Neurospora crassa OR74A: one gene and its partners. The protein of the gene in region 1 purifies or fractionates together with the protein of each later gene. This does not show direct contact. Links are inferred from orthologs where the notes say so. Each region holds a gene or a part of one and is shown on either strand. Other genes may lie near its edges. The genes, in order: NCU02685, NCU07382, NCU06622, NCU03042, NCU07683, NCU00505 and NCU00210.

Region 1 (3,936 bases):
GACTGCGCTTTTGTGAGAGTGTGTGGTATTCTTTGCGGGCTTTGATGTTCGCGCGCAATGCTTCGAGGAATTCCCTATACAGACCTCTAGTATCTTGTGAGTAGGAGGGTACTTCACTTGACTCGGTGAGAGACAACGGTTCTGTCAGCGTTGCTCCGTCTTTCAAGCCCGAACTGAGGTGAAGTGTCAAGATCCGTCTGATATGGGCGGCTTCCTCGCGAGGCCTGGTGTATGGTTGCAGCACCTTCTGAACAGCTTCTAGCGTTTCTCGAAAGGAATCCATCGTGTAGATAATTCCAACTTGACCTGTCTATCAGTATTGGCTTCTTTTCATATCAAGGCATAAAACAGCTTATTGGTCAAATTGTGAATGACTGTGATCATCGATGAGCTCAGCCCGATGTGAGCAGGACGGACATAAGAGAGCGTGGTATGAACCAGAGGTATCTCAGTTTCCAGCATTCAAATGATTGTTCAAATAGCTCGTGAAGTAATACGATTCGTCCCTCTTGGTGGTATGAAAAAGAGGTATCGTAGAAGTCGGAGCCCATGGATCAGACTTCTGCCACCTATCTCGAGTTGCTCGATGGGTTGAGATCGTGTTGATGATTGTGCCTACCACCTTTAGGATGTTTGTTAGTGCACCTTGACCAACCTCTACACACCCCACGGGGTCTCCGCCTATGCACTAACACCGCCCTGACAGCAAGGTCAAGCTCCAGCTGTTCAGTGTGTTTACGTGCTGTCCAGGCAGCCAATGAGAGTCGACGACGGCAGCATTGCATAAAAATTTCCAGCCGTCATGACTGGAGCCACACCTATCTCTGCACCGCTTGCCACCCCTACCAAGCCAAGTAAGTTCCTGCTGGCTGGCAAGAACCACGCCTCTGGCTCAACCTTTCCAAACTGAACGCCAAACTCCAACCTTCCTTTCGCGACAACCGCGACAGACTTCTGTCGGAAACCCATCATCTCTGTTTCCGCCCGACCCCAGATTCTTGATCTACCCATCGATGCGACCGGCGAAATACTACTTATCAGCCAGCAAAACCAACGCTTGGTTCGGGCCGGGCTCGGGCTAATTTATCGCCACTGCGTGCACGCAAGAACAAGCACATTTTATCCCCAAAGGCCGAGTTGAAGATATCACCAGATCGAGACTCTTCCATCCGCTACGACCTCTACTTCGATCTTGACGTATACCTCAAAACATTTCATAGATTTCTTTTTTTCTTCTCCGAGCTGGCAAGATGACGGACCACCACCGCGATGTGTCGCAATATAAATACTCGGCCATGTCCAACCTGGTTCTCCAGGCGGACCGTCGTTTCGTCACGAGGCGTACCGATGAGGCCACGGGAGACCCCGAGTCCCTAGCCGGGCGTCTGTCCATCAAAGATATGGGCTCCAGAGTCGCTCGCGACTCAGCACCAAAGCCCAAGAAGGCGGGCGCCATGCCCGACGTCGAGCGGGGCAGTCTAAGGGAAGGTGCTGATATCCTGCAACGAGAGAAGAAGAAGGGCAAACTCGAGTCCGCTACAAGAGGTGGAGGTATTCTTACTGGCGCCGACGCGCTTATCGAAGGTCTCCGCTACCGCCCTCGAACGCAGCCGACGCGCGATGCCTTCAACCTTATCCTCACCATTGTCGCCGAACACTTGGGCGACGTGCCCCATGAGGTCGTTCGCAGTGCTGCTGACGCGGTTCTCGAATATCTCAAGGATGACGACCTGAAGGATTTTGACAAGAAGAAGGAGGTTGATGATATTCTTGGAGTCTCGATGGGGCCCAAGCAGTTCAACGAGCTCATAAATCTCGGCAAAAAGATCACGGATTACGACGCTCAAGATGAAGACGAGGATGCGGGCGATGCTAGGCAAGAAGGCGACGACGAGATTGACGGTCGCCAGGGTGTTGCGGTCAACTTCGAGAACGATGAAGATGATGATGGCATGGTTGATGTTGTTCGGGACGAATCTTCCGATGAGGAGGATTTTGCGGAGGATGAAGAGCTGCCTGACAGCAACGAGGTGGTCGATGGTGAAGGAGGTCAGGAGGAGGTGGTCGAAGATATTCTGAACGGCGAGGCCATGGTCATCGATTCAGCACCGGAAGGGAAGAAAAGCGGGTCTGACGACAATTCCATACCCGCCAGAGATATCGATGCGTTCTGGTTACAACGCCAGATTGGCCGGCTATATCCCGACGCACATATCCAGCATGATAAGACAATGTCTGCGCTCAAGACTCTTTCCGGCGAGCCCGATGAGCCAGGTGGTGAAGAAAAGCAGCTCCGCGACATCGAAAACGACTTGATGGAGCTTTTTGATTACGAACACCACGAGCTTGTGCAAAAACTCATTGCTAACCGGGAGAAGGTCGTATGGCTTACTCGGCTGGCCAGAGCTGAGAATGAGGAGGAGAGAAATACGATCAAGCGGGAGATGGCTTCTGAGGGTCTGCGTTGGATTCTGGACGAGCTGGAAGGCAAGACCGACGGCGGCCAGAAGAAGATCAAGATGGACATCAAGATGGACATTGACTCGGGGGCCTTTGCTGATAAGGAAGGCCAAAAGCCTGAGCGTCCCGAGGGACAGCTAGTCGGAGGTCTGCAGCCACGCAAGTTAATAAACCTGGAGAACCTCATATTCGATCAGGGTAACCACCTTATGACCAATCCCAAAGTACGACTTCCCGAGGGCTCGACAAAGCGCACCTTCAAGGGCTATGAAGAAATCCATGTGCCCCCACCAAAGAAGCGCAACGACCCCAGCGACGCCCATGTCCCGATTTCTGAAATGCCTGAGTGGGCTCAGATACCTTTCAGCACGGCCAAATCGTTAAACAAGATTCAGTCAAAGTGCTATCCTACTGCCTTTGGTGATGATGGAAACATGCTTGTCTGTGCTCCGACGGGCTCTGGCAAGACCAACGTGGCGATGCTCACCATCCTTCGTGAGATCGGGAAGCATAGAAACGAAGCCGGCGAGATCGACCTGGACGCCTTCAAGATCGTCTATATCGCGCCCTTGAAAGCCCTTGTTCAAGAACAGGTCGGCAACTTCGGAAAGCGTCTCGAACCATTCGGTATCAGGGTGGCCGAACTCACTGGCGATCGGCAACTTACTAAGCAACAGATCTCGGAAACGCAGATTATCGTTACGACCCCCGAAAAATGGGATGTCATCACGAGAAAGGCTACTGATCTCTCCTACACCAACCTGGTCCGCCTGATTATTATTGACGAGATCCATCTCCTTCACGATGACCGTGGTCCTGTGCTTGAAAGCATTGTCGCCAGAACCATCCGCAAGACAGAGCAGACCGGTGAGCCTGTTCGCATTGTGGGCTTGTCTGCCACTCTGCCCAACTACCGCGACGTAGCGAGCTTCCTGCGTGTGGATACGAACACCGGGCTCTTCCACTTCGATGGTACCTTCCGCCCTTGCCCCCTCCGTCAAGAGTTTATCGGCGTCACGGACAGAAAGGCCATCAAGCAGTTAAAGACCATGAATGATATCACCTACCAAAAGGTCTTGGAGCACGTAGGACAGAATCGCAATCAGATGCTCATCTTTGTCCATTCCAGAAAGGAAACGGCAAAGACCGCCAGGTACATCAGGGACAAGGCTTTGGAAATGGACACCATCAACCAGATCTTGAAGCACGACGCCGGAACCCGTGAAGTCCTGAGCGAAGCCTCCAACTCTGTCAACAACACCGATCTGAAGGATATCTTGCCCTATGGCTTCGGTATCCATCATGCTGGTATGAGTCGTGCTGATCGTACCGACGTCGAAGATTTGTTTGCCAGTGGCCATATCCAGGTTCTTGTGTGCACAGCCACTCTTGCTTGGGGTGTCAACCTTCCAGCCCATACCGTCATCATCAAGGGCACGCAAGTGTACTCGCCTGAAAAAGGTAGCTGGGTTGAGC
Region 2 (2,962 bases), about 2.9 Mb from region 1:
CCGGCGCTGGGCGTGGTGTTGCGACTGCGCGGGTGCTGGTGCTGGCGCATGACACCCGCTCCACCCTTCTTCCCCGTGCCCTTCTGGCTGCCTTTTTGGCCCGAGGGCGGCGGCATTGTTGCTGCGTAATCGGCAACCCCGCGCGCGCTCCTGGCTTTTTTTTTTGCTGGCCGCTGGCTGCTGCGCACCTTACTACGGGTGATCCTGGTGCGGCGACTTCCGGCCCGTGTGCTGTCGGGGGTTCCAGGTATCTGTTGGGATTTTAGGGAGTTCCGTGGAAGAGGATCCGGACTCGGGGGGTCTTGGGGGGGCTGGCTGCTCTGGGTCCTCGGTAGGTAACGGCGATGTCGATATGGCGTCTGTCTGTCTAATAAGGGGTATCAGGACCCGGGAAGGCTGCCGCGTCCACGGCGTGCTCGAGGGATGCTCGTCGCGGTCTGCCTCGCTCGCTGAAAGGCGGTCGATGCTGGTCGATACACAATCCAATGACGGCACAATAACTGATGGCACATCCCTGTCGACCCTGACTGTCGCTCGCGGGGAGTGAAGAATCGTGTGGGAATCAGGCAATGATGGGACTGGGCCAGAGCGCTGGGCGGGCCTCTTTCAACTTCCACTTGCTCTGTAGCGTTCTGCGTTGTAAGTGTACGTAACTAAGTTAGGTGACTAAGTTACGTAGGAGAGGTACACTTCAAGTTGCAAGTGGAATTGGGGTTCCAGAGTTGCCCTTGCCCTGGGCCTCGCAATGCTATTTCCGTCGGGTGTTTGAGTTTGTGTGACTGATGTGCCCGTGTCGCGCCTGTGAATTCCTCGCGTTGCCGTTACTCAACAGACAACTGAACCTGTGCCACACTTTGGTTGTCGGGCACTTCTTTCCTGCAGAGGTAGAGGTCAGTTGGACGGCACTTGGGTTCGACTTCAACATGGGCACTTTCAGGAGGCAGGGCAGCTCTGTAGTGTACAAACTAACTGTGCCATACCTGCCCACCTCCCCGGGCTGTCAGCTGCCAGTAGGTAGGTACTTATCTACTGTGGTAGCACGATACGGGCACCTAGGTCTTGGCGGATAGAGAACAAATGGTCTGTGCTCCCACTGCACTTGATGGACGCTCGGACTCCCAAAGCGCGGCTCACCTCTTTCCAAGTCCTCCACCGAGTTGGGCAGTCGTCTCCTTGGCGTTTACAGTTCCAGCAAGCAACGGGCACCTCGACCAATTGATGAATGCCCGTCACTTTAGTTCTGTTGTCCAACATATCTTAACATCATCAAGGTTGATTTCTTTTCCCGTCACTCATTTGGTAACATAGCAACACTGATACCAACAACATGTTGTTCTTCAGGTAATCTAATTTTCTCATCCAACCCAAGAGGAGCATTCGTGTTCGTTCATTACATCAAGTCATTATTCCCTAGTGGGGTCAAGTCTACGCTATGTTGTGATGCTGCTTTGAAGCCGAGCATGACAAGGTCTGCGACGCATATCAGGAGTTGCTTCACATACCTGGACCAAGCCCTGCCTGAGTTGACACATGATGACTTTTCAACATACCACACTGTTTACCAACATTGCTCATCAATCCCTGCATTCCCTTATGAATACGGACCAGCGCATCGACACCACACCACATCTTCCCACCCCCCCTTCTTCCCTTTCAAGCACCCACCGCAACATCTAGTCAAACAAATACAGACTGACACTTCACGCAAAAAGCTTCTTCAAGACCCTCATCGACCACGAGGTCACGGTCGAGCTCAAGAACGACATCCAGATCCGGGGCGTGCTCAAGAGCGTCGACCAGTTCCTCAACATCAAGCTCGACAACATCCAAGTCGTTGAAGAGCTCAAGTATCCGCACCTGAGCGCGGTCAAGAACGTGTTTATCCGCGGGTCTGTGGTTCGTTACGTTCACCTGCCCCAGGAGAGCGTGGATATCCAGTTGTTAGAGGATGCCACGAGAAGAGGTATGTTTTGTGTGTTGAGTGAGAAGGGGCTCGTGGTAGCTGCATGGAAGGGTTGAATGGGTTGGATGCATACTAACGCCGTGTTGCAGAGGCGGCCAACCAGGCTACGAAAGCTAAGCAGGGTTGAATGTGAGAGGAGAGGAGGAGGAGGAGGAGGGGATCATTCGCTCTAGAACCACTTCACGGAACGCACACCCTAACTTTCGACCCGTTATTGTCGCTACCAACGTTGTCTATCAACAGATGCGATTGACGAAGCTGGAAGGAAACGCGCTCGAGAATCAAGGGCAAACGAAGAGGGCCAGAGACCAGGATGGGGTGGTACGGGAGAAGACAAGCAGGCAGGGCGTCAAGAGTGTCACATAGGCGGATACCAGATGAGGAATGAACACGGCTGAGTTGAACCGAGAATCAGGCAAGGGCGGTGTTCTCCATGTGTGAGTGGAAACGCAAACACAACGGCCGAATAGAGTTTCAGACAGATTTACAAACAACCAACCGACCGCACTCCCCCCTTTCCCAACCCTTCCGCACACCACCATACAGAGCACCGCACAGATTACCAATAAACCTCCCCACCACTCGCATCCTTCCCATCCCAAAACTTCTGCCCTTTGGTATCTTCCCCTTTCTCTCCCTTTCCCCCTTCCTGCTCATGCAAAATCCTCACCAACCCCCCTCTCCTCCTTTCCCCCACCCACCGATCAATCCACCCCTTCATTCTCGCTCTACTCGCCTCGCTCCCCACATTCACCGTCGGCACCACCTTCTCCACCCTCAACGCCATCAAAAAGAGCGCCAGCTCCCTGAACGAGCTGTGCTCGCTATAGGGAACCCCAAAGCACATGGCCTCCCTCCCGCTCCCGCGCTGGGGGACCACGTTCTGTGCAAAGAAGCGGGGGCGGAACCGGTTACCGTGGAGGAGGTGCGTGGTTGGCAGCGACGATGGAGGGAGACTGGCGGTGACGGGGACGGAGGCGGGAGGTCCTGTGTCGATGT
Region 3 (3,608 bases), on another chromosome or scaffold:
GCCGCGGTCGTTTTGGCGCCTGGACCGGTTATGGGAGGACTGGCAGCTCCCGAGGGGGTTATGCTATCTTTGGAGCAGGGACAAGTGGGTGATCATGGAGATGAGCGGGATAGGATGGCGATGCTGCCGAATGCCAAGAAGCAAAAGGGGTCCGGCGGGTTGCAGCAAACGTCCATCTTGATGTCTATGAATGGGGGGTTGCCTGCTGGTACAGGAAGCGGTGCTAGTGGAAGCATTGGAGGGCTGGCGGCGCCGGTGAATGGACTCGGTGCTGGCGGGGTTAATACCGGTATTACCAATATGGGTGTCACGACGGGTGTGGTGGGCATGTCGTCGGCTTCGGGACGACCATTTAGTTCTACTCCTGGTGTGATGAGCGGCATGAATAGGGGTATCTTGTCGGCATCACCGCCAGCTACTACGTCGGACGAGGATCCCAGCGCGCAGTTGCAGATGGAGATGAGGCAGGCGGCGTCACAGCAGTATCGGGGTCATGATGGGGATGTGGATATGACGGGTTAGTTGAGTGACTGTCCATACATACAGAGCCGAATAGACGTGTTGAATATCCGGGCGAGTACAAGACGTTAAGAGGTGTAGAGTTGCCGAATCAAAGACCATGGGCCCTTGATATGCTCGTCCTAACGTCCCTTTCCTCAAGGCCGCTCCGATTGCTGCGGTGAAATCATGACACCACTATCATGTTTCACTATCTCTGTTTCAACCCAGCAAATTTGCGCAATTTGGTATACAGTTATTTTGCAGTAAGCCCCATCTAGAACCGAACGCCGACAAATGGTAAGCTCTTTGAAGTGCCGTCCTCCCCCTTTTCGTCACCTCTGCAAGCCATCATATCACGAACATATAGCAACCTGATCTACCACGTTCGTCAGGTGCCCGTCACCTTGGTTCCTCCTTACTCCTCCATGGCATCGTCATCCTCGGCGATAATGCCAGGTGGCAGCCGTCCCTCGTTGAGCGCCTTCTCCAATCTGATGATTTCCTCCAAGCTGTCGGCCTTCTTGATCAGATCCTGCAACTTCTTCTTCTCTTTCTCTGTGAGCTTGAGACGCGAAAGTTTCGAGGAAGGACCACTGCCGGCCGCACCGTTGGCGGAGCTGGCGCCAACGTCAAAGGTCTTGCTCTTGATTCCCTTTATCTGTTTGCATGTTAGCAGGGTTGTCATGACATTGAAAAAGAAGACAAGGTACATACCGTCTTGGCCAACTCCGTCGGCTCATCAGCGGTTCCAAACAGCTCCTTCGCCTTCTGCCTCTCGGCGTCCTTGACCTTGACGTAATCGAGAAAGCGAACCTGAGGGCACAGCCAGAGGACCCAGTAGCGGTAGTTCTGTGTGTCGACAAACATTGTCAGCCATTCCGTACATTCATTCCATTTGCCACCCCCGTCTCCGATTCTCTCTCAGCCGCATAACACTGGGCGACGAAAGGGCGTTGTGTGACGTACCTCCTTCTTGGTAACGGGGTTGTCCGTCAAGACCAAGTGCGTAAGCCTTGGAAACCTTCCCAACACCTCCAAATCCGCCAGCTCGCCAATATTATTGGACGCCAGGACGAGGTTCTTCAGGTTCGGGGTCGCATTCGGTAGGGTCGACTGGATCTGGGCGATCCTGTTGCGGGCGAGCAGGAGGGTGCGTATGCGGGGAGAGAGCGGGAAGTTGCCCAGCACTTGGATATCGTTGTCGGTGAAATCAATGGCATCGTGGGGCTGTAGTAGCGACCGGATTAGCAAACTGCATTAATTGGTAATTTGGTTGAAACGGGCTACCAGTAGCAGGACTAGCAGTAGAGGAAGAACCAGGAGAAGGGAGAAACTTACCCCAGCAACGCCCAAGTTCTCAATAGCAGGTATTCTGTGTCCTATTGCATGTATCCCAACCCAACATAGGTTTTCGATATATCAACTCTGTTCTTTGTACGCGCTTTTGGAAACTTGAAGATCAACCGTGCAGTATCTGCTCTTCTCGATGGAACGCACCTCGGAGGTCTATCTCTCGCTCCTTAAGCGGATTGAGATAGGAAAGGGAGTTGTTGATAAGGTCTGCCGTCAGCCTCATTGTGACGACGGGAGTGCAACGACGACGGGGAGCTGTCGAGCTGTCGCTGCTACTACTACTGCGATGCCGGTCGGTACCTTGTGATGGTTGTTGCTGGTGGTGCTTTTGTAATACGGCGGCGCAAAGGGGCTTTGCAAACAGGTGATTAATTATTGATTACAGCCAGGAGAATTGCCGTATGTCCTGTGTTCGCCTTCGAGATTGAAATTGATGGAAGTCAACTAAAGAAGCAAAAGGTTGAAGCGCGTCGCGTGGTTCGTAATTGGTGGCTGTAGTGAAGTTACCAAAGTAGATTGACAAGGCTGCCTGCCCCAATGAAGTCATGGACAGCGCCGCAAAAAAAAAACGGACGATGTAGTAACCCTAACCCTTGCGCGTCGGATTACTTGCAAGTCGCAACCACACGGAGCTCCTAAACAGAGTCGACACGGTTTGTGTCTGAAAGACTAGGGTACTAGAGTCAGATATTATATGTTCATTTTCTGCCCTCTTGTTGGCCTAAAATGTTTCTTACTCGCTATCTCGCCAGGTTGCTGTCAAGTTTTCGTTCTACTTCTTGGTGTAAACGCTTTCACAACCACTAACCGCCCGCTATGGAAAAACCAAAACCACTTTCATCACACTCGCTCTTTAGTCCAGATCCCCAACCCGGCATCATCTAAAGAACCTGCAGCTGTAACTTTAGGGCTTGTTTCGTTATGATGCACACTATTGTGCAATTCCATTGTAACGTCACCAACAATGCTATCCCTACATCGTCTAACCGGACGTCGAATGACGCCTTCCATGCTACTCAAACCAGAAGCCAAAGTCACTGACACAATAAGCTTGCTATGTAACGCATCACGCAAGTTCCATGTCCATTACCTGGTATCACACACACACAGAATTTGCCCGACCTTGAACCAGAAGCGGGATTTAGTATGCGAATCCACACCTCTCGTCCTTTTATGCTGATAATTTGGTGCCCAAGGGTCGTGCCACTCACTCACTACTCGACGATAAGCCCCTCCAAAGCTTCCATCGCTCTGGCACCCTGCTTCTCAAACAGCAGGACCATCTCCTCGCATTCCCTCTTCAATCTCTGCTCAGCCAAGTTGGCATTATGATAGATCCACTCCTCCACGGTCATCCGCTTTTCCGGGCTCGTGAGCTCACTGCCCTTGTGCAAGAGTTTGTCAATGCCGTCTTCCTTATCGTAGTCGTTCTTGTTGGGCGAGAATATATTGTCTAGATCTGCCGCGGTCCAAGGCTTAGTGCTTTGAAGGGCACCCAGAATCGTCCGTTTGGAAGGAGAAGTGGGCCTGTCCGGTGTGGTAGCCATTGGTGCTAGAGCATGACGTTCGACTATTGGGGTCATTTGCTTCGGCGATGGGGGTCGGTTCTCTGCATTCGAGGATTGCATTGAAGGCGAGCGGTAGACGCTTGGCTGTTCTTGAGGTACACTCGCGACTGTAGGTGCCTGAGGTGTAGCAAGCGGCTGAGACAGGTGATCTGGGGACTCAGATGGCGGCGGAGGAAGAGACTTGTT
Region 4 (3,950 bases), about 5.1 Mb from region 1:
AAATGCGGAGGGTTCAGCCTGTCATCCACCGACTGGAAGCGCCCCATCACAGAAGTCAGGTTCGTCGACCACTCAATGCCCCGCATAAGCAGGGGACAGAGTCTGCTTGATTTTGGGCATTTGTATCGGTATCCATGCCATTGAGGGGCCGAGGCCGACTTGGCTACCTTCTTGATGCCCCGACTGCTAAGATTCAAATGGACGCATTCGAGACGGTGAATAGACCAAGTCATGAGCATGCTACATATGGACTTACCGTGATGTTGGAACAGTCCTGCTCGACGAATAACAGCGTTGTCAGATCAACAAACCCAACACCTTGTTGCGCCGAAATGGCCGAGCTCGCGCCATATCCTCGAGCTGCAAGACTCATGTCATCTGCCCTATCGCTTTGCCCGTTGGCATCAACGCCGTTTGACTTGTCGTGGTGGTGATGGTCATGATCGTGGTCACCAGGTTTGTGACAGTGCCAAAACTCCATCATCTCAGCCCAGTTCTCACTCGGGAGGTCTTTCCACACCTTGACAACATCTCGCTTGACAACAACGGCCTGGCATTGTCTACAAACAACTTCGGACCCGGCCTTCAAATCGGTGGCTGTCCAAGTGGACGACTCGGCTGATGATGCATCCGTGTATGTTCCTTGACCCAACGGTAACCTCCAGGAGAGCGCAGAGGCTCCAGGTCTTTGTATTGGCAGAATGGCGCCGCCAAGGGCTACCTTTGCGGGTAGATGTAGTGTATGTGACTGTCCATGGTGTGTGAGCTCGACATTCTCTCCATCCGCTGCCACCACTACTCGTGTTGACGCATCGCTTGCAGAGCCCAGTGAGATGGCCAGCGATATCTGGCGGATATTTGAAAGCAACTCTACATACAGTAGCGGCGTTGCAGGTTGGGATGTCATGCTGGTCGAAGCGAAGATGAAGCGAGGTTGAGAGAGGTGAAATGGATGGAAGTTGAGGGTGTGGAAAGTGAAAGTGCTGCCTCCCCACATGAGCTAAGTGGAAATGGATGGAAGCTCCCCTGCTCCCCACCGCGATCGAAAGCGTCGAGGTCTGGACTGCTTACCTAATGCACCTGGAGCGCCACTTGGAGTGGAAACTTCAGGTGCAGCCTTGCCAAGCCCGTGTCAGCTCTCTCACGGTCACGTCCCGTCACCAGTCGCTGGCCAAAATTTCAGGGAAGGCGTGTGCACCGTACCGCATCCACTGCGCCCGTCTTCAGCCGTGACCTGCATCCCTCTGCCTCCACCGTCTATTCCCTTGCTGATAGCCTCAGTTATACACGACAAAGTGTCAAAACTGTCACCGTCAATTTAGCTGCCCCGTCAGTTACCATACCCGATCCCACCCAACCACCCACGGGCAGCGCCACATCATCACGTCCCGTTTCCTCCCGACCACATACCATCATTCACCCTCGCGGCGCGCTGGACATTCTTGCGACGACCCCGACCTGACATGACACGAGGAGGATACGGCCAGCACCATGTCGGACTCGGATTTTGAGCAGATCAAGAAGCTCCAGCAGGAGCGCAATGCTGCTGCTGCCGCCAAGAGCGGTTCGCGCAGCTTTGATCCTGCCAACCAACGATCCGACAACAGCACCAAAGCCAAGCTGGGAGAAATATGGGACACCGATCTGTATGAGCGCAACACCGGCGACAAGTTTGCGGGCTACCACACCACCCTGCCTGCTGCCGATGGCGACGACGAAGAGATGGAAGATGCCGACTCCGGCCGCCGCCTAGTAGGACAGTACACCGCCACCCGAGCTCAGATCGATGAGTTTGCACGCGGCGATGGCGTCGAGGAGGATGATCCCCTGGCTGGCCGGGGCGAAAAGAGCAACCGCATCACCGACAGGGAGACCGACTACCAGAAGCGCCGATTTGACCGCGTTCTGACCCCTACACGAGCCGACCCATTTGCTGCCAACCGCCAAGCAGGTGCCACTGATGAAGGCGAGAGTTACCGGGAAATCATGGAACGCCGCGAGCTTGAGCGAGAGGAAGAGCGCGTACGGCGCGCCATTGAACAGAAGATGAAGGAGGGCGGTCCGGTCGAGGAGCACCAGCCTACCCTTCAGGATTCCGGTAACAAGGAGAACGAGGAGGCTGGCTCTACTGAAGCTGCGGCTGGTCGGAAGCGCAAGAAGAGATGGGATGTCGCCTCTACAGATGATGCTACCCCGGCACCAGAGCCCAAGAAGAGGTCTAGGTGGGATCAAGCACCATCTGTTCCCGCTCCAGGGGCGCCAGGGGCGGAACCCAAGAAGCGATCCCGCTGGGACCAGGCGCCTTCTGCCACTCCTGTTGGTAATGTCGGCCTAGCTACCCCGATGCACCCTACCCAGACCGCTGTCGTGCCCCCAGCTTTCGGGGCTGATGCGGCCGGTCGCTACGCACCACTCAGCGACGAAGAGCTGGACGCGATGCTTCCAGGCCCCGAACAAGGTTACAAGATTCTTGAGCCGCCACCAGGGTATGCCCCCGTGCGAGCACCGGCACACAAGCTGATGCAGGCTCCGGCCCCAACAACGGGCTTCATGATGCAGGACCCCGACAGCGGACGGATGACAGGCCAGCAGGTGCCAAAGGAGATTCCCGGTGTGGGAGACCTGCAATTCTTCAAGCCCGAAGATATGGCATACTTCGGCAAGCTCACCGACGGAGCAGATGAGGAAAGTTTGAGTGTCGAAGAGCTCAAGGAGAGAAAGATTATGAGGCTCTTGCTGAAGGTCAAGAACGGTACTCCTCCTATGAGAAAGACTGCGCTCAGACAATTGACAGATAATGCTCGCAACTTTGGTGCCGGCCCCCTCTTCAACCAAATTCTTCCTCTGCTCATGGAGAAAACATTGGAGGACCAGGAACGCCATCTTCTCGTCAAGGTTATTGATCGTATTTTGTACAAGCTCGATGACATGGTTCGACCATACGTTCACAAGATTCTCGTCGTTATCGAACCCCTTCTTATCGATCAGGACTACTATGCCCGTGTTGAGGGTCGGGAAATCATTTCGAACCTCAGCAAGGCTGCTGGTCTTGCCACAATGATCAGTGTCATGCGTCCAGATATTGATCACGTCGATGAATATGTCAGAAACACTACTGCCAGAGCCTTTGCCGTCGTTGCCTCGGCTCTGGGTATCCCAGCTCTGCTCCCCTTCTTGCGAGCTGTGTGCCGAAGCAAAAAGTCGTGGCAGGCTCGTCACACGGGTGTCAAGATCGTCCAGCAGATTCCCATCTTGATGGGCTGCGCAGTCTTGCCCCATCTCAAGCAGCTGGTTGACTGTATCGGACCCAACCTGAACGATGAACAGACCAAGGTCCGCACAGTGACCAGTTTGGCCATCGCAGCTCTCGCCGAGGCATCTAACCCCTACGGTATCGAGAGCTTTGATGATATTCTCAACCCCCTTTGGACCGGTGCCCGAAAGCAGCGAGGCAAGGGTCTGGCGGGTTTCCTCAAGGCTGTCGGTTATATTATCCCGCTTATGGATGAAGACTATGCCAACTATTACACCAGTCAGATTATGGAGATTCTGCTACGAGAATTTGCCTCTCCTGATGAAGAGATGAAGAAGGTTGTGCTAAAGGTGATTTCACAGTGCGCCGCCACCGATGGAGTAACGGCTGGGTACCTAAAGGAGCATGTGCTGGACGAGTTCTTCAAGAGCTTTTGGGTACGGCGTATGGCTCTGGATAAGCGCAACTACCGACAGGTCGTTGAGACCACTGTCGACATTGGCCAAAAGGTTGGTGTCAGCGAGATTCTGGAAAGGATCGTAGCCAACCTAAAGGACGAGAGCGAAGCCTACCGCAAGATGACGGTGGAGACGGTTGAAAAGATTGTGGCCTCTCTCGGTGCTGCCGATATTGGCGAGCGTCTGGAAGAACGCCTTATCGATGGCATTCTTCATGCGTTCCAGGAACAGAGCGTGGA
Region 5 (3,364 bases), on another chromosome or scaffold:
ACGATGATGGGCGCCGTGCGTCCAGCGTATGAAGAGGCTTTGGATGCTGGCGATCTCAAAACATCGAGCGCATCTGCAGCTTGATAAAGAAAAGAAAAAAGAGAAAAAAAAAAGAAGAATTACTGAAATACTCAAAAGCATCGGAATGGAGATTATATAACTAGTTCAATGGCTTGCTAGAATCTGGTAGTGGTCATTATAAGAGAATCAGGCGAGTGAACAAATCAACTAAAACAACTCACAAGGTTGTATAGTGTAGCGGTTATCACTCCGGATTCTGATTTCCTTCAGAACATTCCGGCAACCCCGGTTCGATTCCGGGTACGACCTCAACTTTTGAGTTTTTTCCTCTAATTTCTTTTTTTTTCTTCCTTCTTTCTTCTTTTTCTTCTTTTTTTTTTTTTTTTTTTTTTTTTTTTTTGGAGTAACTCCTTCCATAGTTGTAGCCGCTCCGTACCACCTGTTTCCTTGCCATGGGCAATTATTTCGTTGCCTCAAAAGCTGCAACAAGTCGCCCGCGAAGTGCATCATTTTTGTGTGACATGGAGGTCTCAGGACGCCGCCAGTTTTGTAATCCTTTCAATGCTTGTTGATAACGGAAAAGAATCTCTCAAATGACGATAATGCGATACAATGTGCCTTTTGTGTTAGGTGCAAGAGAAAATCAACCAGGAACTTCAAGCTTGGGTATCTTTTGCTTTAAAATAGTCATATCCTTCGTGCCGTAAATTCCATGCTGATGCATCGAACACCTAGTCCGGTCTATGTGTCCGAGCCAGGCCTCTTCCAAAAAGCCCACACGATGACTGCCCATGAACCATCATGCATGTCTGTCGCTGGAGATGGTCTTCGTGCCCCATTCAACCCCGCCTGGGTTTTGTGTGAAAGCCCATTCGGACCGTGCAAGATGCAGCCCATGTTTCTTTCTTGGCTGATGCTCTCCATCCCTTTCCTCTCACCCCTACGCACAATCGCGGCGGCCCCTCGCGCCTCTCGTTCATCGATCGTATCATTATCAAAAGGCCGTACTTCCCTACGTTGGGTGGTCGTTGCGCCTCGCTCGCTGTCCCAAGAACATGGAATTCCACCTCATGCGCCCCTGCCACGGCCGCGGCCTCCCCTGTGACCACCTCTGTCGCCCCCTCCTCGTCCGCCACGGCCGCCACGGCCGCCATAATCGCCTCTGTTCTGTCCGCCGCCGCGGCCGCCTCTGTGTCCACCGTGTTGACTGTGTTGCTGCTCCCTTGCAATGTCGATCACGTCGTCCGGTACTCGAAGATATTTGATCTGTTTGTCCCCATAACCATTAGAAACCGCTGGTCGATTGATCGTTGACTCCTTTCCTGGCAAGAGGCAAGAAGAGAGAGAAAAGGAGGGGGAGGGGACAATGTCGAGACTTACGTTGTTTCCCTTGACGTAAACCTCTGGTAACCTCACAAACTTATCGCCTTCCTATTACGTCATGTAAAGTTCGTTGGTAAGCTGCCTTGTCCCCGACATTCTCTTCGACGTGTTGGATTGCTTGTTTCATCCACTCGCTCATCATCATCATCATCACTGTGCATCATCGCTCGAACGAAGGGACGGAGGGACGGAGGTAGGAGGTAGCACTAACCGGGCTGGTCTGAACAACCTCCCTTAGCGTCAGATTCATCCATGTATCGCATTGGATCAAGTGGCCGTTGAGCGTTTCGCCGTTCTTGAGCTCAACGAGCATGGGATGGCCTTGCGCCGCGGTGAGGATGCCTAACGGTAGCTGTTTGTTGCGAGGGAGCAAAAGGTTAGTACATTTCCAAGAGGGATACCGAAGTGACGCTATATGCAATGAGAATTCGACGTACCATAGTAGTGAGTTTGGAAATCGACAGCCGTTAGTTAGGCTGCCTATTGTTGTTGCGACGGAGACCAAAAGGAGAAGTTGACGTGTTGGATGTAGTGACCAAAGGGAAGTGCGCCCGCGACGGGAAGCCTGTCCTGGCGCCGTGGCGTAGCTGGAGCTTGCCGGCCGCAACAGCTTATGGAGTAACAAATGTAGCGTGGAGCAATGACATGGTTTACCAGGATATCTGGGAGCCGAAAATCAAATACAGTCGAACCCCCTGAAACTGCATACTCCAGATTCTGCATATATGCTAGTTAGTGCATAGAATTTCCAGGTCTGAATCCGCCATTTTTGCCCAAGCCCCGCCTCCAGAAACTGCATATACGCCATTTAGTGCATGGATTTTGGCGGTCTGGATTACATGCAGTTTCAGGGGGTTCGACTGTAGCCAACCGGCAACCCGAGATACACTATACTTAGTGTACAGAAAAGGTGGGACAGCCAAAAAGGAATAATATCCCACGTATATTTGTTATCTAAAGCTTCAGAGTAGCAGTAAGTAAAAAAAAAACGGGTTCTCACTGCAATTGGAAATACTGTTATCCAGATCCAAGTAATTTCAAGAAAAGTGCGGGAGCAAAGAGACATCGAGTCAAAAAGAGTGGACGAGCTGGGAATCGAACCCAGGACCTTTCGCATGCTGTGAAACATGCTAAGCGAACGCTCTACCAACTGAGCCACACGCCCTGAATGAGTAATGCAGTGTTTGCGCTTTGCGCCCTATAGCTGGAGCTCAAAGTTAGAACTCCCCGCAGTCTTCTGTAACTCATGGGCATGTCAAGCGCCTATGTTGAATCAGTTTGCCATATCCCTTGAGGAGAGTTCCTATCAAACGACGCTTAAGCTTAGTTGAGGCTCCCGAGTTGAATATAGAAAATGATAGCCGGACTAATTGACCTCCAACATTTAAAAGTTGAATAAGAAGTCTCGGACACTAATGAGACATTAGACTTTACCTCCATATCTAGTGTATATTTGTCGTAGGTAGAGTGCGTGTTATGGTACTAGCAGACTGTAGTAATTCATTGCCAAAAAGTCACCCGCCAGTCCTTATTGCAGCTCTTGTTGAACAGTGGACTGATAAAGATAGTTTGGAACTTGAGGCTATAGCACTATCATATGTATCGTTTCGAAGGGATTTGTTGAGCCTTGTAATAAGTGGGATCTAACAAGGAAACGCATCCTGCTCTTCACTGATTTTGCTGTTTATCTCATTATCTGCCGTGTCTCCTGTCTTCTCTGAGCCCAGTGTCCTAGTGAACTCGCGCCCCTCAGAGTAACGGTAAGTGTCACAGTTTGAGGATTTCTCGCATATTGGACCGTTGATTTAATGACATGTAGAACGCCCTACACAAACCTTCTTTTTCGATGGCTCAGTTGGTTTTGACAACGCGCCCTGGCCGTGTTCATTATAGTCGAGAACAAGACCTGGTAGAAACAAGGGGGAAAGAGGATTTCACTGTGATATGTAAATGACATAAA
Region 6 (3,179 bases), about 5.0 Mb from region 1:
GTCTGGTTGGGCTGCACATCCTCATCCGTCCCCTGCCTTCTGTCCCTCGTCATTTATAAAGGTTGTGAGGCCGTGACTAACCCTCTCTTCGACTGTAGTCATCCACTACGAACCATTGACTTTACTGCGAGTTTGTCTCTTCGTTTGTCCGCATCGCTTCCACGGCGCATCGTCCTGAACACGAATCGACAACAAGAATTTTCCTCTACACGACATACCTTCACGGTCAAACTTTTCAACGCCGACATAGCGCCAGCCTAATCTTCCCAATGACATCCTTCGTTACAAATCTCTGGGAGTCGATCTTCACTCCGGGGCCGACTCCCACCCTCCTTATCGCGACAAATGTCACATTTGCCGCTCTGCAAATTGTCCTGGCGTGCCTCCTCTTTGCGACATGGAGTATCCACTTCGTAATTCTCTCGGCTCTCTGCGGTGGACTCTGGGGATCCATCAACTGGTTCGCGGCGGAACTGAAGGTGCACCAAATCCAAGAAGAGGAAAAGGCGAGAAGAGCCAAAGAAGCAGCGCCAACTCCAGTCACATCGGAAGACAGCGAAACAGAAGTAGAGGCAGCTACATCGACAGCTAGCCTCACGAGGCAGGAGTCAATTGCAGAGGCGGTCAGCCATGAGGTTGAGCCTATCCAGCAGATTGGAGAACTGAAGCACAGAGTGGTTGAGGAGACACCGAGCCTGGGCACTAAGAGCGGCGTCAGCACGGAAGATGAGTGGGAGAAGGTTTCGGAGAACGAGAACGAAAAGGACAAGTGAATATCCTGGCGATTGAGCGGGGACCGACCACACGCAGAACGTACAAGCGAATGTCGTGTTAGCGAAGTTACCATGGCATCCTGTAAATAGTGTCATGGTCCGCTTTCGTGTTGGAGTTGAGCGACGATGGCATTTACACATCCACCCTGTTTTCGTTCTTCATTGGATGAAAGGAGAGGCAGTTGAAGGCTGTAAGCCCTATGTTCGTTTCATAGTCCTTATCCTGCCATGAGGCATCATGATCTGTGCAACTACAGCTATAGCTTCAGAGACAAAGTCATAGTAAACAACACCTTGTTGTTCGGCGTGGCAGTTAGCCAGCCCATCTTCGTGTACCCCAATTATCTGGTTGCTTCAACTCAGCACATGAACAGATCATGTGCAGGGCAGGCAATTTATGGATAGCTTGAAACCCATGACTTCCAGGGTTAGGGGCTTTCAAGCCGCCGTTTGCCTGTTCAGCTCGGCTCACGTGATTGAGCACGGGCTCTATCTTGGCGCGTAGCGACGGCAGGCTATCTGCTCCACCCTGACGCTTGGATGGTTGTGCAAGCGTCCAAGGAAGCTCGACAAGCCTTCTCCCGTCGCGACTGTTGATTGACAAAGTAACAAGCTGGTAATCGAGACCTTGTCACCACCAATTCCATACAACACATATTCGATTACGCGTTGTCCAAATAAGTCAAGATGAAGCTGGTCAGGTAAGATTTCTCCTTGCTTTCTGATACTTCGCTACATGTACCCGATACCCCATCCCACCCGACTTCATTCCTATTCTCTTGCACGACGCATGCTGAGCTTTGAGTCCTCGCCTTCAAGGCTGCCAGCCCGTGTTCGCGCGCGTCCATGCTGCTCTACTAGAAAAAGAACACCAAGGGCACCAGGCTGACGAAGTGGAATCCGTTACTTCAACACTGCAGATTTTTGATGAAATGCGCCAACGAGACGGTGACGATTGAGTTGAAGAACGGCACAATTGTACACGGCACTATCGCCTCGGTCACACCCCGCATGGACACTGCGCTTCGCAACGTCAAGATGACCCCCAAGGGCCAGGACGCTGTGGCTCTAGATGCCATGAACATTAGGTAAATCAACCCTTTCAACTAAGGGGGAGTGGCCCTTTTCAGTTTTCGAGGGCATCACTAACTATTGAAACCCTACAGGGGCTCGACCATCCGTTACTTCATACTCCCCGATTCTTTGCCGCTCGATACATTGCTAGTTGATGATTCCGTGAAGCCCAAGAACAAGGCGAGAAAGGAAGCGGACCGCAGCGCCGGCGGCAGAGGTGGCCGTGGTGGCCGTGGCAGAGGAAGGGGAATGGGTCGCGGCCGCGGTCGTGGCCGTGGCTAAGCGGATCTCGTTTCTTTGGGATCGGCCACGGCGTACGTCTCCCTGGACGACAGAAACGTGCGAATTAGATTTTTTTTCAAAGACGATACGATGCTATACTACGGTTAATGGTGGATTTTTTTCGGTTTTTTATGCCCCCTTCGGTCGACCGGCTTGACCGTCTTGGTAGGGAAGATCAAGGCCGGCCCGAAATAACGTCCGGTGGCGACGACACGACAAAATCGACGATGAGTGCGCTTCAGAAAATCGAGGAGCATATCCCAGATCTTCACTTGAGCGACACTCGAGATTCACCTCATTCGCATCGAGTGTTACACACATAAACACCACTCCCCCTCATCGGATCGGAGCAGAGGGCAAGCATTGGGATTTCGTTGCGGCGTTCTGGACAGGATAAAATCACTTTGCTAGCGGGAAGGGAGAGAGAGAAAGGCGCGCCCAACCGCCACCGGAATGAACTATTTTATGTATCACAAAACAGATAGACGGCGATATATGCCTACTGGAGAAGGCGGCACAATCAGCAACTCTCTATACCAAATTTCCCCCAGAATTTTCGAGCCTTGTACGTGACTGACCATCGTCCTTCCCCCTCTTCCACCCTCTTCAACAGCTTCCTCCCCATCCTCAACTCATCACCAGCATCTCATCCCTCCATTCACCTCCAAACCCTCACAATCTGCAACTTCTCCCAACCCGCCTGCCTCCCACTAGTCCCCACCGTCTCTGCCTTCCACTTCCCTTCACCACCCATCACCCTGATCCTCCCTTTGACCTCCTCCGGCTTATTCTGCGCACAAAGCAGAATATACGCCACCCCCCTCTCGCTCAACACCCCCGGCAAGGCCTCAATCAGTCTATCCGTCGTCTCCATCCCATCCCTCCCTCCAGCATACGTCAACTCCAAGAGATGTGAGTCTTCCTCAAACGTCGTTTTCTCCTTCAGTGCCTGCAACCCTGTCGGTGGCGGCGCAGGCAAGTCAGGCGTAGGGACGTAGGGCGGGTTGAAGACTAGGACATCTACCGATCCGGGACGAAAGGGGGAGACGA
Region 7 (3,330 bases), on another chromosome or scaffold:
GGCTCCTGGAGCCAGGGCGCCGAGAAGCTCCGGATTTTGGGCATCCCGACTGTGCTTGGTGGTTTTGTGCTAAGAGCTGTCTGTTGTCGCTATACTATCCAACTCGAGCCTGATGAATCCTACAGATGACGGTGGTTCGTGTGGCGCAATGAAAACCGAAGTTGGTGTCTGGCTAGGCAGAAATAGTAGCTTGTGTTGAGGTCCTGCTATGTCCTAGCATGCACGGGCCGGTTTTTGTCGTCGTGCTGCACTTCGCTTTCTCTGCTGAAGTAATGTATGTAGGTGGGGAGGTAATTGGCTATGTAGGTAGGCAGGCGCACTATGGTCGAGGTACGTATGTATTTGATGTACCGGTACTATTAATGTGATGGCGGTTCTCGGTTTTTGAAGATGAAAAAAAAAAAAAAAAAAGGTGATCAAGAGCAAGTAGAACAGAAGCCAAGGGAGGGAAGACAAGGAGAGAGATTGGGATCCCTTTTTGAAGTGGCAGGCCCCTCGATCGATCCCATGGGAGAAAAAGCCAGGAAAGCGAAGTTTGCTAGTGGTCTCGGTTGGCTGGTCAGGATGGTAACAACAAGGTTTGACTAGCGTGTAGTGCTACGGACCTGATGGATGCCCGTGGATGGACGAGTGCTGGATGCCACTATTGTCCAGTCCGAGCCAGTGCTGTAAATGAGGCGTCCAGGGCGTCACTAGAGGCGTCCGCTTCCGTGCCTATGCCGTATATTTTCCGTTGCTTGCCTTGATCGATCGTGTTAGCTTCATTTTAGCGCGTTTCCACTCCTTCCACAGCCCTTTAGTCCGTTTCAACTGTCCGCCGGTGTTCAGTCCAGACCGTGCTCGCCGCCTCGTCTCACACCATCGGTCATTGATCAACAGGAGACAGGCAGGCCGCCCGGGATGAGAGGGGATGGAATGGCCGAATGGAGGTCTTAACGGAGACCTAGCTGTATACATACTATAAATGGTAAGCCCGAGGTAGGTACAGTTGTGCTGTGACGCGCCTGTAAATTGGGTGCCAGATTGCGGTCCAATCGGCTGGCAATGGTTGTTGGATCAACGACAAAGCGCCTCCACCAAGTCCTCCTGCCCTTGCTTCCATCGCTCTGCCCTTGCCTGCCGTCGTCATATTTGCGGGCACCTCGTAAGATAGGGTACCTGACCCACCACCAACGGCTTCCGTCGCCCGTTACAGTGCCAAGACTACCTGGATTGCCATGCAGTGATGTCCGATGCACTGTGACACTGTGCGCCAACAGGACTAAGTGTAACTGACCTGAGCTGAACTGAACTGTGAACGAAGCCTGCAGTGCTGCTGTCGCGGTACACGGGCACACCAGTCGCGCTCAGAAAGTAGCTGCGCCTGTACTTCCACTTTAGCGGGCAACCTAAGTTACCTCTTAGGTAGGTCCAATTCCATTGGCAAGGGAAACCACTGCATCATCCCCATCGACGTCTCAGAACTCCAAACCATTGAACTTCCACTTGGGCTGACAGCTTTTGATTTTCCTTCTTCTTCGCAGTTGCAGGGCACCTTTCACCCAAGAGCAGATAATCCATCTTCACTACCAGGTAACCATGTTGAACACTCGCCAAAGGAGCACCGTAGAGCGCCTTGACAGGCCAAGTGCATACTTTTTCAACAAGGTGAGTGCTCCTGACGGCATTTCCATGCCCAAACATTGCCAATCTCTCCTGTCCATAATTAGCACCCCGTCGACCGCTGACCCATCCACTCAACACAGAATAGGCGCAACAGACGTCACGACCGGGACCACCGCGATGGAGAAAACGAAGACAGTAACATGCATCCCGAAGCGTTCGATGACCCGTTGAAGGATGCGACCACGCTCTACGTCGGCAATCTGCAAGTTTGCCCCACGCTGCCAGTCCTTAATTAAAAAAATCAAAAAAAAATCAAAAGAAACAAGAACTAACCGAATGTACCTCGGCAGTTCCTTCTACACTACCGAAGAACAGGTTTACGAACTCTTTAGCAAATGCGGCGAGATCAAGCGCTTGGTCATGGGCCTCGATCGCTTACAAAAGACACCGTGCGGTTTCTGCTTCGTCGAATACTACACCCATCAGGACGCTCTCGATTGCATGAAGTACATTGGCGGCACCAAGTTGGACGAGCGCATCATCCGAACCGATCTCGACCCAGGCTTCGAGGAAGGGCGACAGTACGGCCGTGGAAAGTCGGGCGGCCAAGTTCGTGATGAGTACCGTGAGGACTACGACGAGGGCCGCGGTGGTCTTGGCCGGCAAATCCAGGCCGAGAGAATGAGGGAGCATGACCACAAGCGCTACGACGATAACGACGAACAATACGGCCGCTTGCGCTAGAGTTGTCATTGCATGGGAGTTACGTGGGACAATGAGGGAGTGCATCATGATCCAGTGCACAGATATTCAACCAGTCGTCATGACAAATCGACACAAAATATGCAAGCCGGCTCTGAAATTACGAATTTTGTTCATTCAGGGCAAGTGGAGGCGGAACAGAGAAGCGTAAAAGACAAATACCCCCTTGGAAGACATGATATTCGTTGTTGTATTGGTATCTTGCTATGGTATTTCGGGAAATTATTGATTTCCCATCCATTCGGTATGGCTCCACACATTCTTCTGTGATGCTCGCCTGGCCGTGTTTGCGCTGCTCTCTGCAGTGGTATCTCAACATGGAGCGAGCAGGAGTGTCCATGATGGACAGGACCTCCAAGTCAGTCAGTCTCTTTGCGAGACGAGACAGGAGGCCTCCTCTTCTTTGCCCCAAGCAAACGGTCCTGTTAGCGGTATCTCCAATGTCACCCATGCCATTTCGCTGCGTAATGTTACAAGTGATATACATGCTTGCACGATATCGTCCATCGTCCGGGTCGAAGGTCTTAGTAACCGGGAGGGTTGACTCTCTGGGACACACGGGTCCACTTGGGAAGCTCTGGAAAAGGAATGCCGTATTAGCCTTGGTCTTTGACTGCTGTGAAGTGATGCACAAGGGTGGCCCGTACTGTGGATGCCCTTGCGGTACCTCTTCTCCTTGCGGTCGAAGATGGTGTACTTGTCCTTGGGCAGCATCTCGGCCTCGGTGGGCATCTCAGCCCTCCAGCGTTCCACCGCCTTGACGGTCTCACCCTTCTTGGCAAGAGCGTTCTCAATGGTGGCGACGACGTTGTCAACGGCCCTCAGTCTGCGGCGCTGCCTGAGCTTCTGGAACTTGGACATGCGCCATGGGATCTTCCTGTTTGCCGCGACATGATTAGCATTTCCGGTAGAACCTTTGGCGCAACTGCAACATAGGGTAGTCGCTTACCAAAGAAGACCCCC

The links.
Region 2: the proteins of NCU02685 (region 1) and NCU07382 purify together in Saccharomyces cerevisiae (affinity purification with mass spectrometry; 7 studies listed by BioGRID, with this or other methods). This does not show direct contact. The link is inferred for Neurospora crassa OR74A from reciprocal best matches to the Saccharomyces cerevisiae genes BRR2 and LSM2.
Region 3: the proteins of NCU02685 (region 1) and NCU06622 purify together in Saccharomyces cerevisiae (affinity purification with mass spectrometry; 5 studies listed by BioGRID). This does not show direct contact. The link is inferred for Neurospora crassa OR74A from reciprocal best matches to the Saccharomyces cerevisiae genes BRR2 and LEA1.
Region 4: the proteins of NCU02685 (region 1) and NCU03042 purify together in Saccharomyces cerevisiae (affinity purification with mass spectrometry, with the first as the bait; 3 studies listed by BioGRID). This does not show direct contact. The link is inferred for Neurospora crassa OR74A from reciprocal best matches to the Saccharomyces cerevisiae genes BRR2 and HSH155.
Region 5: the proteins of NCU02685 (region 1) and NCU07683 purify together in Saccharomyces cerevisiae (affinity purification with mass spectrometry; 7 studies listed by BioGRID, with this or other methods). This does not show direct contact. The link is inferred for Neurospora crassa OR74A from reciprocal best matches to the Saccharomyces cerevisiae genes BRR2 and LSM4.
Region 6: the proteins of NCU02685 (region 1) and NCU00505 purify together in Saccharomyces cerevisiae (affinity purification with mass spectrometry; 7 studies listed by BioGRID, with this or other methods). This does not show direct contact. The link is inferred for Neurospora crassa OR74A from reciprocal best matches to the Saccharomyces cerevisiae genes BRR2 and SMD1.
Region 7: the proteins of NCU02685 (region 1) and NCU00210 purify together in Saccharomyces cerevisiae (affinity purification with mass spectrometry; 3 studies listed by BioGRID). This does not show direct contact. The link is inferred for Neurospora crassa OR74A from reciprocal best matches to the Saccharomyces cerevisiae genes BRR2 and CBC2.

Annotation. Positions count from the first base shown.
Region 1 is NC_026501.1:3,198,499-3,202,434, reverse strand, and holds the start of NCU02685 (pre-mRNA splicing helicase), read left to right. Parts: upstream 1-1,136; 5' UTR 1,137-1,250; coding exon 1,251-3,936. Other genes in the region: NCU02686 (hypothetical protein), read right to left, coding at 85-283.
Region 2 is NC_026501.1:6,141,317-6,144,278, forward strand, and holds NCU07382 (U6 snRNA-associated Sm-like protein LSm2), read left to right. Parts: upstream 1-1,136; 5' UTR 1,137-1,218; coding exon 1,219-1,271; exon of another isoform or gene 1,272-1,327; coding exon of another isoform or gene 1,328-1,341; intron 1,342-1,712; coding exon 1,713-1,963; intron 1,964-2,052; coding exon 2,053-2,090; 3' UTR 2,091-2,462; downstream 2,463-2,962. Other genes in the region: NCU07383 (transcriptional regulator Ngg1), read right to left, coding at 1-116; NCU07381 (DNA cross-link repair protein pso2/snm1), read right to left, coding at 2,523-2,962. UniProt on the Saccharomyces cerevisiae protein: Component of LSm protein complexes, which are involved in RNA processing and may function in a chaperone-like manner. Component of the cytoplasmic LSM1-LSM7 complex which is involved in mRNA degradation by activating the decapping step.
Region 3 is NC_026504.1:1,833,531-1,837,138, reverse strand, and holds NCU06622 (U2 small nuclear ribonucleoprotein A'), read right to left. Parts: upstream 2,377-3,608; 5' UTR 2,078-2,376; coding exon 1,999-2,077; intron 1,881-1,998; coding exon 1,840-1,880; intron 1,729-1,839; coding exon 1,468-1,728; intron 1,351-1,467; coding exon 1,216-1,350; intron 1,160-1,215; coding exon 917-1,159; 3' UTR 523-916; downstream 1-522. Other genes in the region: NCU06623 (hypothetical protein), read left to right, coding at 1-522; NCU06621 (hypothetical protein), read right to left, coding at 3,069-3,608. UniProt on the Saccharomyces cerevisiae protein: Involved in pre-mRNA splicing. Associates to U2 snRNA in a MSL1 dependent manner and is required for normal accumulation of U2 snRNA. Required for the spliceosome assembly and the efficient addition of U2 snRNP onto the pre-mRNA.
Region 4 is NC_026501.1:8,343,984-8,347,933, reverse strand, and holds the start of NCU03042 (U2 snRNP component prp10), read left to right. Parts: upstream 1-1,150; 5' UTR 1,151-1,491; coding exon 1,492-3,950. Other genes in the region: NCU03041 (hypothetical protein), read right to left, coding at 257-907. UniProt on the Saccharomyces cerevisiae protein: Contacts pre-mRNA on both sides of the branch site early in spliceosome assembly.
Region 5 is NC_026504.1:2,247,658-2,251,021, forward strand, and holds NCU07683 (small nuclear ribonucleoprotein), read right to left. Parts: upstream 2,036-3,364; 5' UTR 1,845-2,035; coding exon 1,842-1,844; intron 1,757-1,841; coding exon 1,616-1,756; intron 1,453-1,615; coding exon 1,402-1,452; intron 1,288-1,401; coding exon 1,090-1,287; 3' UTR 501-1,089; downstream 1-500. Other genes in the region: NCU07684 (hypothetical protein), read left to right, coding at 1-84. UniProt on the Saccharomyces cerevisiae protein: Component of LSm protein complexes, which are involved in RNA processing and may function in a chaperone-like manner. Component of the cytoplasmic LSM1-LSM7 complex which is involved in mRNA degradation by activating the decapping step.
Region 6 is NC_026501.1:8,193,174-8,196,352, forward strand, and holds NCU00505 (small nuclear ribonucleoprotein Sm D1), read left to right. Parts: upstream 1-1,333; 5' UTR 1,334-1,460; coding exon 1,461-1,474; intron 1,475-1,592; exon of another isoform or gene 1,593-1,693; coding exon 1,694-1,861; intron 1,862-1,939; coding exon 1,940-2,129; 3' UTR 2,130-2,679; downstream 2,680-3,179. Other genes in the region: pkr1 (ER membrane protein), read left to right, coding at 270-773; NCU00504 (hypothetical protein), read right to left, coding at 2,788-3,179. UniProt on the Saccharomyces cerevisiae protein: lays a role in pre-mRNA splicing as a core component of the spliceosomal U1, U2, U4 and U5 small nuclear ribonucleoproteins (snRNPs), the building blocks of the spliceosome. Also binds telomerase RNA and is required for its accumulation.
Region 7 is NC_026503.1:3,018,642-3,021,971, forward strand, and holds NCU00210 (nuclear cap binding protein subunit 2), read left to right. Parts: upstream 1-1,387; 5' UTR 1,388-1,578; coding exon 1,579-1,647; intron 1,648-1,745; coding exon 1,746-1,867; intron 1,868-1,955; coding exon 1,956-2,349; 3' UTR 2,350-2,830; downstream 2,831-3,330. Other genes in the region: NCU00209 (hypothetical protein), read right to left, coding at 1-44; NCU00211 (mitochondrial ribosomal protein subunit L31), read right to left, coding at 2,892-2,944, 3,015-3,244, 3,317-3,330.